Bombyx mori: one gene and its partner. The protein of the gene in region 2 purifies or fractionates together with the protein of the main gene of each other region. This does not show direct contact. Links are inferred from orthologs where the notes say so. Each region holds a gene or a part of one and is shown on either strand. Other genes may lie near its edges.

The links. The genes of interacting proteins can lie anywhere in the genome.
Region 1: the proteins of kelch-like ECH-associated protein 1B (region 2) and serine/threonine-protein phosphatase Pgam5, mitochondrial purify together in Homo sapiens (affinity purification with western blotting; 6 studies listed by BioGRID and IntAct, with this or other methods). This does not show direct contact. The link is inferred for Bombyx mori from reciprocal best matches to the Homo sapiens genes KEAP1 and PGAM5.

What each region holds. Positions count from the first base shown.
Region 1 is NC_085122.1:9,467,874-9,472,151, forward strand, and holds the start of serine/threonine-protein phosphatase Pgam5, mitochondrial, read right to left. Parts: upstream 2,810-4,278; 5' UTR 2,522-2,809; coding exon 2,349-2,521; intron 1,741-2,348; coding exon 1,562-1,740; intron 1,083-1,561; coding exon 865-1,082; intron 1-864. Other genes in the region: CYP367A1 (uncharacterized protein LOC101741325), read right to left, coding at 3,216-3,391. UniProt on the Homo sapiens protein: Mitochondrial serine/threonine phosphatase that dephosphorylates various substrates and thus plays a role in different biological processes including cellular senescence or mitophagy. Modulates cellular senescence by regulating mitochondrial dynamics.
Region 2 is NC_085128.1:13,266,552-13,270,119, forward strand, and holds part of kelch-like ECH-associated protein 1B, read right to left. Parts: intron 2,392-3,568; coding exon 2,227-2,391; intron 200-2,226; coding exon 50-199; intron 1-49. UniProt on the Homo sapiens protein: Substrate-specific adapter of a BCR (BTB-CUL3-RBX1) E3 ubiquitin ligase complex that regulates the response to oxidative stress by targeting NFE2L2/NRF2 for ubiquitination.

The DNA.
Region 1 (4,278 bases), on a different chromosome or scaffold from region 2:
CATTAAAAGTTACCTATCTAATTTATTTACAATCTAATTTTACTCCCACATTAATATTAAAATATGTAGAATATTAAACGTTAAAAGTTACCTATCTAATTTATTTACAATCTAATTTTACTCCCACATTAATATTAAAATATGTAGAATATTAAACGTTAAAAGTTACCTATCTAATATATTTACAATCTAATTTTACTCCCACATTAATATTATTGTAGAATATTAAACATTAGAAGTTACATCTCAATATAAATTCTGCAAGCGGTTAGTATATTAAATGGAATAATGCCAGTCTTGGTCAGTATAATGAATCCAAACAACTAAATATAAATATCTAACTACAACAACAAAAACACATGCTATGTAAATAGCAGGATGCAGTGTTGATTTTTTCTTCTAAATAAATTATCTATTTGTGAGCGCATGCAATATAAGGTTCTAACTATTATACCTGTAATGACACTGTTTAAATTTAAATAATTCCAGACTAAGAGATGAAATAGTGTAATGATATCAAGCGTGGTTGCTGGCAAACACTAATTATTCTAAATAAAAGAAATACAATCTAAAGGTGTGTGGCGCATTTACGTTGTAGATGTCTATGGGCTCCAGTAACCACTTAACACCAGGTGGGCTGAGAGCTCGTCCACACATCAAAGCAATAAAAAAAAAAAAGCTATTCACTAATGACTTACACAAAGAATGAATAACATCATGTTTTAAATTCATACCTGCAATCATCTATTATCAAAGCAATAAAAAAACAGGGATCTCCTTGAACTCGCTTAATTTCAATTTTTATCATTTTAAATTGTACTGAATGATTTTATTGTTTATGAATATTATTAGTAGATTACTTACTCTTGGTTCAGGCCTCCAGTGTCCCACGGGAGGTTCAGGGGGTATCGGAGCACCTTCTTCTAATAATTGACAATCTTTAACTTCAATATCTTTGTCTAAGTGCTTTGCTATAATGGCAGCAGTTTCCTGTGCTCTTGTCATTGTAGATTTAACAAGTAGATCCCATTTTATATCTAAGGATGCTAGTCTCTGACCTGTTAGGTCTGCTTGGATTCTACCTAAAAATAATGTATCATAAATGCATAACACAAAATATTATGATTCGTTCATGGTCATAAAAAAGCTCATGGCCCATCTGGTATTAAGCAGTTACCAGAGCCCATAAACATGCCATGAGACTCTGCCCATCTTGAAACTTCAGAGTTTGGGTCAGCTGTTATACAATACATTTGCAACTTCCATCAGATCAGAACTTAGATAAGTTTCACGACAGAACTAAAGAGGATTAATAATTAAAGAGTATATATGTGTGTATGTCAAATAGGTACATGGTAGTGTGTGTAATATTTTTTTTATTGATTTAATGTATTATTAATACATTTTTTTTTAATATTTGATACTTCTCCGTCCGCACAATTTTCGTAAAAAAAAGGGGTACAAAGTTTTTGCTTCACGTATATTAATATATAGATTTGGTTTGTGAATAAATTTTATTTTCTTTTAAACTACAACATGATTTGAAAAGTAAATAAGTTACCTAGGTCCGTGAGGGTTCTTTCTTTGTCTGTTTCTCCCTGCACATTGTACTGGCCATGTCTGATCAGGAATAGATGTCTGACAGCTTTGCTTCTTGCTTTTTCCAATTTCTCATTGTATTTGTTCTCTTCTTCTGGTTCATCTGACCTTTTTGGTCTAACTATCGACTCTGGTTCTCTACTGGAAAATATTTCAATTATTCTTTTAAATATAATTTTTTTTTATTTTTTATATTTATTACTACTACTTGAAATGCCATAACATCTTTACAAAGATAAAACTGAATCATTAGTTATTTTAAGCTCTTCATTGTGGTTATTTTAAACAGGTCAAATTATATCAATCATGTGACAATGGAAGGGGGAACAGCATAAAATATTCCTATGCTTATATATTAATTCAAAATCATCTATTATAGTTTAGCTTATTCTCGAAACATTAAAAATATATACAGAACAAAGTGAATTTAGATATTATTATGTTTGTACCTACTTGCCAATGATACACTCTTGTTGTTGTTTCTTCCAATGCTATTCAATGACATATATGACTTGCGATTTTTGTTTTTACGAAAATTAAGTATACTTAAATAACTCAAATAATGAATAACCTTTCTTTAGGAGGCCATGAGAATATTAACCGAATAAAATCTAGTTACGGCCACTAATGAATATTAACTACCTATGTAATAACACTCTACAGCTACTATCCGCCGTAAATGTATGTATGATATGGTGTCAGACACTCTTCGTTTAAAAGTATTAATAAAAAAGTTTGTAATTACTTACTGGTCCCAGTTCTTGTCCCATTTCACGCTTGGAGTAAAATTTGTAGTCCATGAATTATAAGCACCGTATTTCTTCTCATTTTTCCCGCTGTTTATCTGATAGTACGCTAAACCACCACCTACAGCACCTAAGCTGATGAGGGCTATTTTATGAAATCTAGAAAGTGAGCCCATTGCAGTAAATTTTTATTCTATATCATTGATTTCGTTCGAATAGTGGAAGTAGATTTCTAAAAGTGGTTATTGTGCCAAATTCCGAAGTAGGTAATAAAATAACCTATTATTTACTGTATCTCTCAAGTCAAAATCAGTCGTGAACTTTTGTCATTTGACAATGTGTATTTTTGACATTGACATTTTAAAAACATTAATTTAATTCACAAATCGGGGCACAGCCAGACCACTGAAGTAGGAAACAGCCAGACCAACCGCTGCCTACCGTTATGTACTCTCCACGATACTTGTTTGAAGAAGGACATATTACCATAGCGCTCGGGAATCAGCGTAGAGGGAACCTCATTACAAAGCCGGATGGTACGTGGCTAAATAGAACACAGGAAACACACTGTAGACGAACGCAGTGGATCCAGTTATTATGGATGAATTTTATTCTGGTGACAGGCGGTGCGATGGTAAAATTCGACTAATAACACCAGTAAATAATACACACGAAATTAAACCGTTTTTTTTTAAATTCTTTATTAGAGCCTTACACCTATTAGGTTAAGTCGGCTATGGTTTAATAGTGTTAATTAAGCTTGCGATTCGCAAAACTTAATGAAATACTGTTAAATTTTAATATTTTATTCTGAAATCCCATTTCTTAAAAATTTATTACAATTTTTAGTAATTATACCATTTTACCAGATTACTGTTTCTCTTTAATTTTCCTGGGATGTAATTTAACTGGGAACCCATCCAATGGAGACACAGATATAGCTATCGATAGTTTGAGATCCTTGTATGTTCTAGATGTTGTCACTTCGAACTCTCTTAGTACTCGAACGCAAATCATTTTTACTAACCTAGTACCGAAGTATCTTCCTAGAAAATAGATAAACATAACTTTAGCTATAATGCAGCTGATATATTATAGTCGTCGTGGCCTAAAAGATAAGACGTCTGGTGCATTCGTATTGAGCGATGCACTAGTCTTCGAATCTCAGGCGGGTACCAATTTTTCTACTGAAATACGTACATAACAAATGCTCACGACTGACTTCCACGGTGACGGAATAACATCGTGTAATAAAAATCAAACCCGCAAAATTATAAATTGCGTAATTCGTGGTGGTAGGACCTCTTGTGAGTCCGCGCGGATAGGTACCACCACCCTGTCTAAATCTGCCGTGAAGCAGTAATGCGTTTCGGTTTGAAGGGTGGGGCAGCCGTTATAACTATACTTGAAACCTTAGAACTTATATCTCAAGGTGGGTGGTGCATTTACGTTGTAGATGTCTATGGGCTCCAGTAACCACTTAACACCAGGTGGGATGTGAGCTCGTCCCAATGTAAGCAATAAAAAAAAAATATAATAATAATAATACCAATCTTTCGTTGACATTGCATTTTAAATATTCTAAAAATCTTCAGAATGAACAAATAAGTGATTTTTTATTTCAGCTGCAAAGAATATTTTTTTTGGAAATCTAAGTAAGGGGGTAGGGGCACATTGTGAATTGTGTAGGTACTGCGATCCCATCTATGTCTGTCATATCATGTTTTCCGGTTCGAGGGCACAGTTTACGCTTAAAGGCACTTCACGTTTTGATATTATGAGCCACCTGTGTGCTTAGTGCGAGTTTTTTAACGTTCTCGATAGCGTAAAATTTAACGCGATTTTGTATGCAGTTGGAACAACGCCCCTAAAGGCAAACGTAGGCAAACGATCCCACTCCATACAATGTAAATATGAGCTAACTTTTACGCTA
Region 2 (3,568 bases):
GTGCTCGTCCACCCATCTAAGCAATTAATAAATAAAAAGTTAATCTTACCTGCGTGAAATGTCTCTCGATAAATTGATTGGCTCTCTTCTTGAGTTCAACGCATCCGTGTTGTTCGGCGAAGTTCGCGATGCCGATCGCGTTCGAGGGGTCCAGCTGTCGCTCGAGGAACGCGCTGCATGCGTTTATTACATTCGTTATCTGTCGGCACACGTCTAAAATAAGTGTAGTCAACAACTTAACGAACAAACAACGTTTGGTATGCAACAAAACTACAAATACAAATAGTTTTTTCTCCTACCTACGCCGAAAGTTCGGTTTTCGTCCCGCTGTACAGGGAAGAAAGTGTAACTTTTCCTCCCTGGGTACTGACAAGTGCGCATGCGCGTTAGTGTCTACGTCTGCTCTCACGCACCTAAAATTCTCCGCCATTGTTGTGCTCGGGTAATTGCAATATTGTGTTTAGTGTAAAAGTGAAATAAACAAAAGGCAATAAAATTTAATAGTGAAGTATTAAACAAAGATGACTTCATCAGACAGTTCTTATTCAATTAGTAGTAGTTTATTTAAAAATTAAAAAACAGTTAAATTGTTTTTTTATGAGAACGTGGGGCTCCCCCCCCCCTGCCAGGGCTTCGCCCCTGGGCCCCGGCTCGGTACTCCACGAACTTTCGGCCTGGTAGGAGAAAAAATAGTATGTGCACCGCGGGAGGAAATGTCCAACTTTTCTCCCTTGGTGCACAATGTACCATTGTACATTATTTATTATGTCCGGTGTAAGAAAACTGTTGCCGAAAGCGAGGACAAGTCGCGATCTGAGCACGCGCAATGTAACAAGAAACGATTTAGTTTATAGCTAAGCGCGTAATGTAACACAAAACGGAGCGAGCAGTGTTTATTTTATTTCGTGAGACGCGGGGTTTCAGTTACTTTCATTTCAGATTGCGGGTTCGCGTAATATTATTTAACATTGAAGTCGTCGTGGTCTAAATGATAAGACGTCCGGTGCATTCGTATTTAGCGATGCACCGGTGTTCGAATCTCGCTGGCAAATAACAATTCTTCTAATGAAATATGTACGTACTTAACAAATGTTCTCGATCGACTTCGACGGTGATGGAATAACATCGTGTAATAAAAATCAAACCCGCAAAATTATAATTTGCCCCTGCCTATTTCTGCCGTGAAGCAGTAATGCGTTTCGGTTTGAAGGGTGGGGCAGCCGTTGTAACTATACTGAGACTAGAGCTCATATCTCAAGGTGGGTGGCGGCATTTACGTTGTAGATATCTACAGGCTCCGGTAACCACTTAACACCACGTGAGGTCAGGGCCGTGAGCTCGTCCACATAAATAAGCAACAACAATTTTTTTAAAATTTGTTTTCAGTTTATTATTAGTTAGTTCTCTACTAGCATGGCTGTTTCGATTCCGGGAACGGTTTTCTTATGTCCTATTGGAGGTTTAATTGGAACTTGGACAAAATTAAGATATTAGTTAACGGATGTTGACAAACTTTGAAACTATTCGAAAAGATTTTTTTTAGAAAATCTTATCTTCCTAATCTATTTCTAAAACAACCTATTTTCGAGATATTGCTAGAATTTTCTGTATTTCGATTTCTCTACGTTCACAAAAAAAAGATGTGTGGTGTCGTTGGACACCGGATAGGAACGAAGTTCCTATTTATAAAAATATTAATTTTAAGTTCTATTCGAGCTATAAAGAAAATAAAACTAGAGGTTTCGCAACGACCCGGTCGCAACAACGGTCATTCGGTAACGTGCGAACGTGTTGTGGTACACTTCATTCATAGTTGTTTGCATAAGAGTTAGTGTATTGCGCAAACGAACGCTCTGAGATCGTGGTCAATGAATGATAATAAAATATGTTATTTTTTGTACGCTATTACAAAGTTAAGTCGTACACTGTGTGCATTACTAATAAAAATCTTACGTTACGGACGTTTTTTACGGGTAGGGTACTCCTCCGCATCGTCCCATAAGGAACTTCGTTCCAAAAAAAAACAGTATTTCTGTCAGTAATTATTATTTTCGGAGAGGCGTTACCCGAGCCCTTAGGCATCACAATGAGAATGTCCACTACACGCTGCAACAGAAGCGTGAATTCACGAGATGGACGGTCGCAATTTTGAGTTATATATGCGTTGTGGCATTTGCAAAATCTAGTGTAAGACGATTTATGTGGTAAGCAGTATCAAATACTAACCTGGAACATGGTGGCGGCCGGGAGCAGCTGGCAGACCGTCACTTCAGTTATCCTGATCTTCCCCGTGTACATAAAGTATATCAGCCAGGCCATCGCTGAAGGACACACGCCTTGTAGCCGGACCCTTGACATTTCACACTCCTTGAGGCCGCTCGTGAACATCGCCTGAGCACAAATACCATATCATACCATTTATCTTAATACCAGAATTAATATAATACTTACATATGTATAATACATATATTATAACAATATAATTTTACTGGTGGCAGGACCTCTTGTGAGTCCGCACGGGTAGGTATCATCGCCCAGCCTATTTCTGCCGTGAAGCAGTAATGCGTTTCGGTTTGAAAGGTGGGGCTGCCGTTGTGACTATATTGAGACCTTAGAACTATATCTCAAGGTGTGTGGCGCATTTACGTTGTAGATGTCTATGGGCTCCAGTAACCACTTAAAACCAGGGGGGCTGTGAGGTCGTCCACGCATCTAAGAATTAAAAAAAAAAACCGTATAACATTAGCTAGGTCTTTAGCTCGTTTATCTGTATTAACTACTATGCAAATGCGAGTACTTCTATTTTTAAATTCCTCCACAGCTGTCCACCCTTAAAGTTTCGAATGGCTAAGTATATCTTAGGAATTAGGAGCGCAATTTTAATCTTATTTCGAAATCCTAACCTTAATCTAAAGGCCGGGCTACAGGCTTAATAATTAAAGGAATTGTTCAAAAATCTTAAATTACTTGATGAACAGTGTGTGCCTTATGTGTTTTGAAATACGTCACGTGTTTGAAAAGCAAAAATTATTACTTTTAAGCTAATCTTCATTGACGTATATCAATCACAAAGAATCGTCAATTCTCAAATCCGTTCAAAACGCAAAGTCACCTGATAATTGCAAAAAATATTAGGTATATACAATATCTGTGTTTTTTGACTAGGTTTTTCATTTTATTTGTTATATTTAGGTTTTTAAAATAAATAAATATGCATAGTCATTCTGAGACGAGTAGCAGTTTTTTTCCGTAATTCTAAGAACCCGATTAATTCTGTTGGATATTTCTTGAGTCTCTAAATCATTTACAAATTCATGATACAGTATAAAAACAAGTTTGTTAATCACTGTAACTGTATGATTCATTTCAGCTAGTAATTTGATTGTTTTTGGAGTTTCGTTATTCTACTATTTTTAAACAAGAATTAGATCATGAGCGCCAAACGTCAGTATTATTCAAGATATTGAGTAAGACCGGGGATCGCCCAAACCCGGGTACACTAAATAGACATCGTTAATTCAAATTTAGTTAAGGACTAACATCGGGGAAGTGAGTATCGGATAGCAGG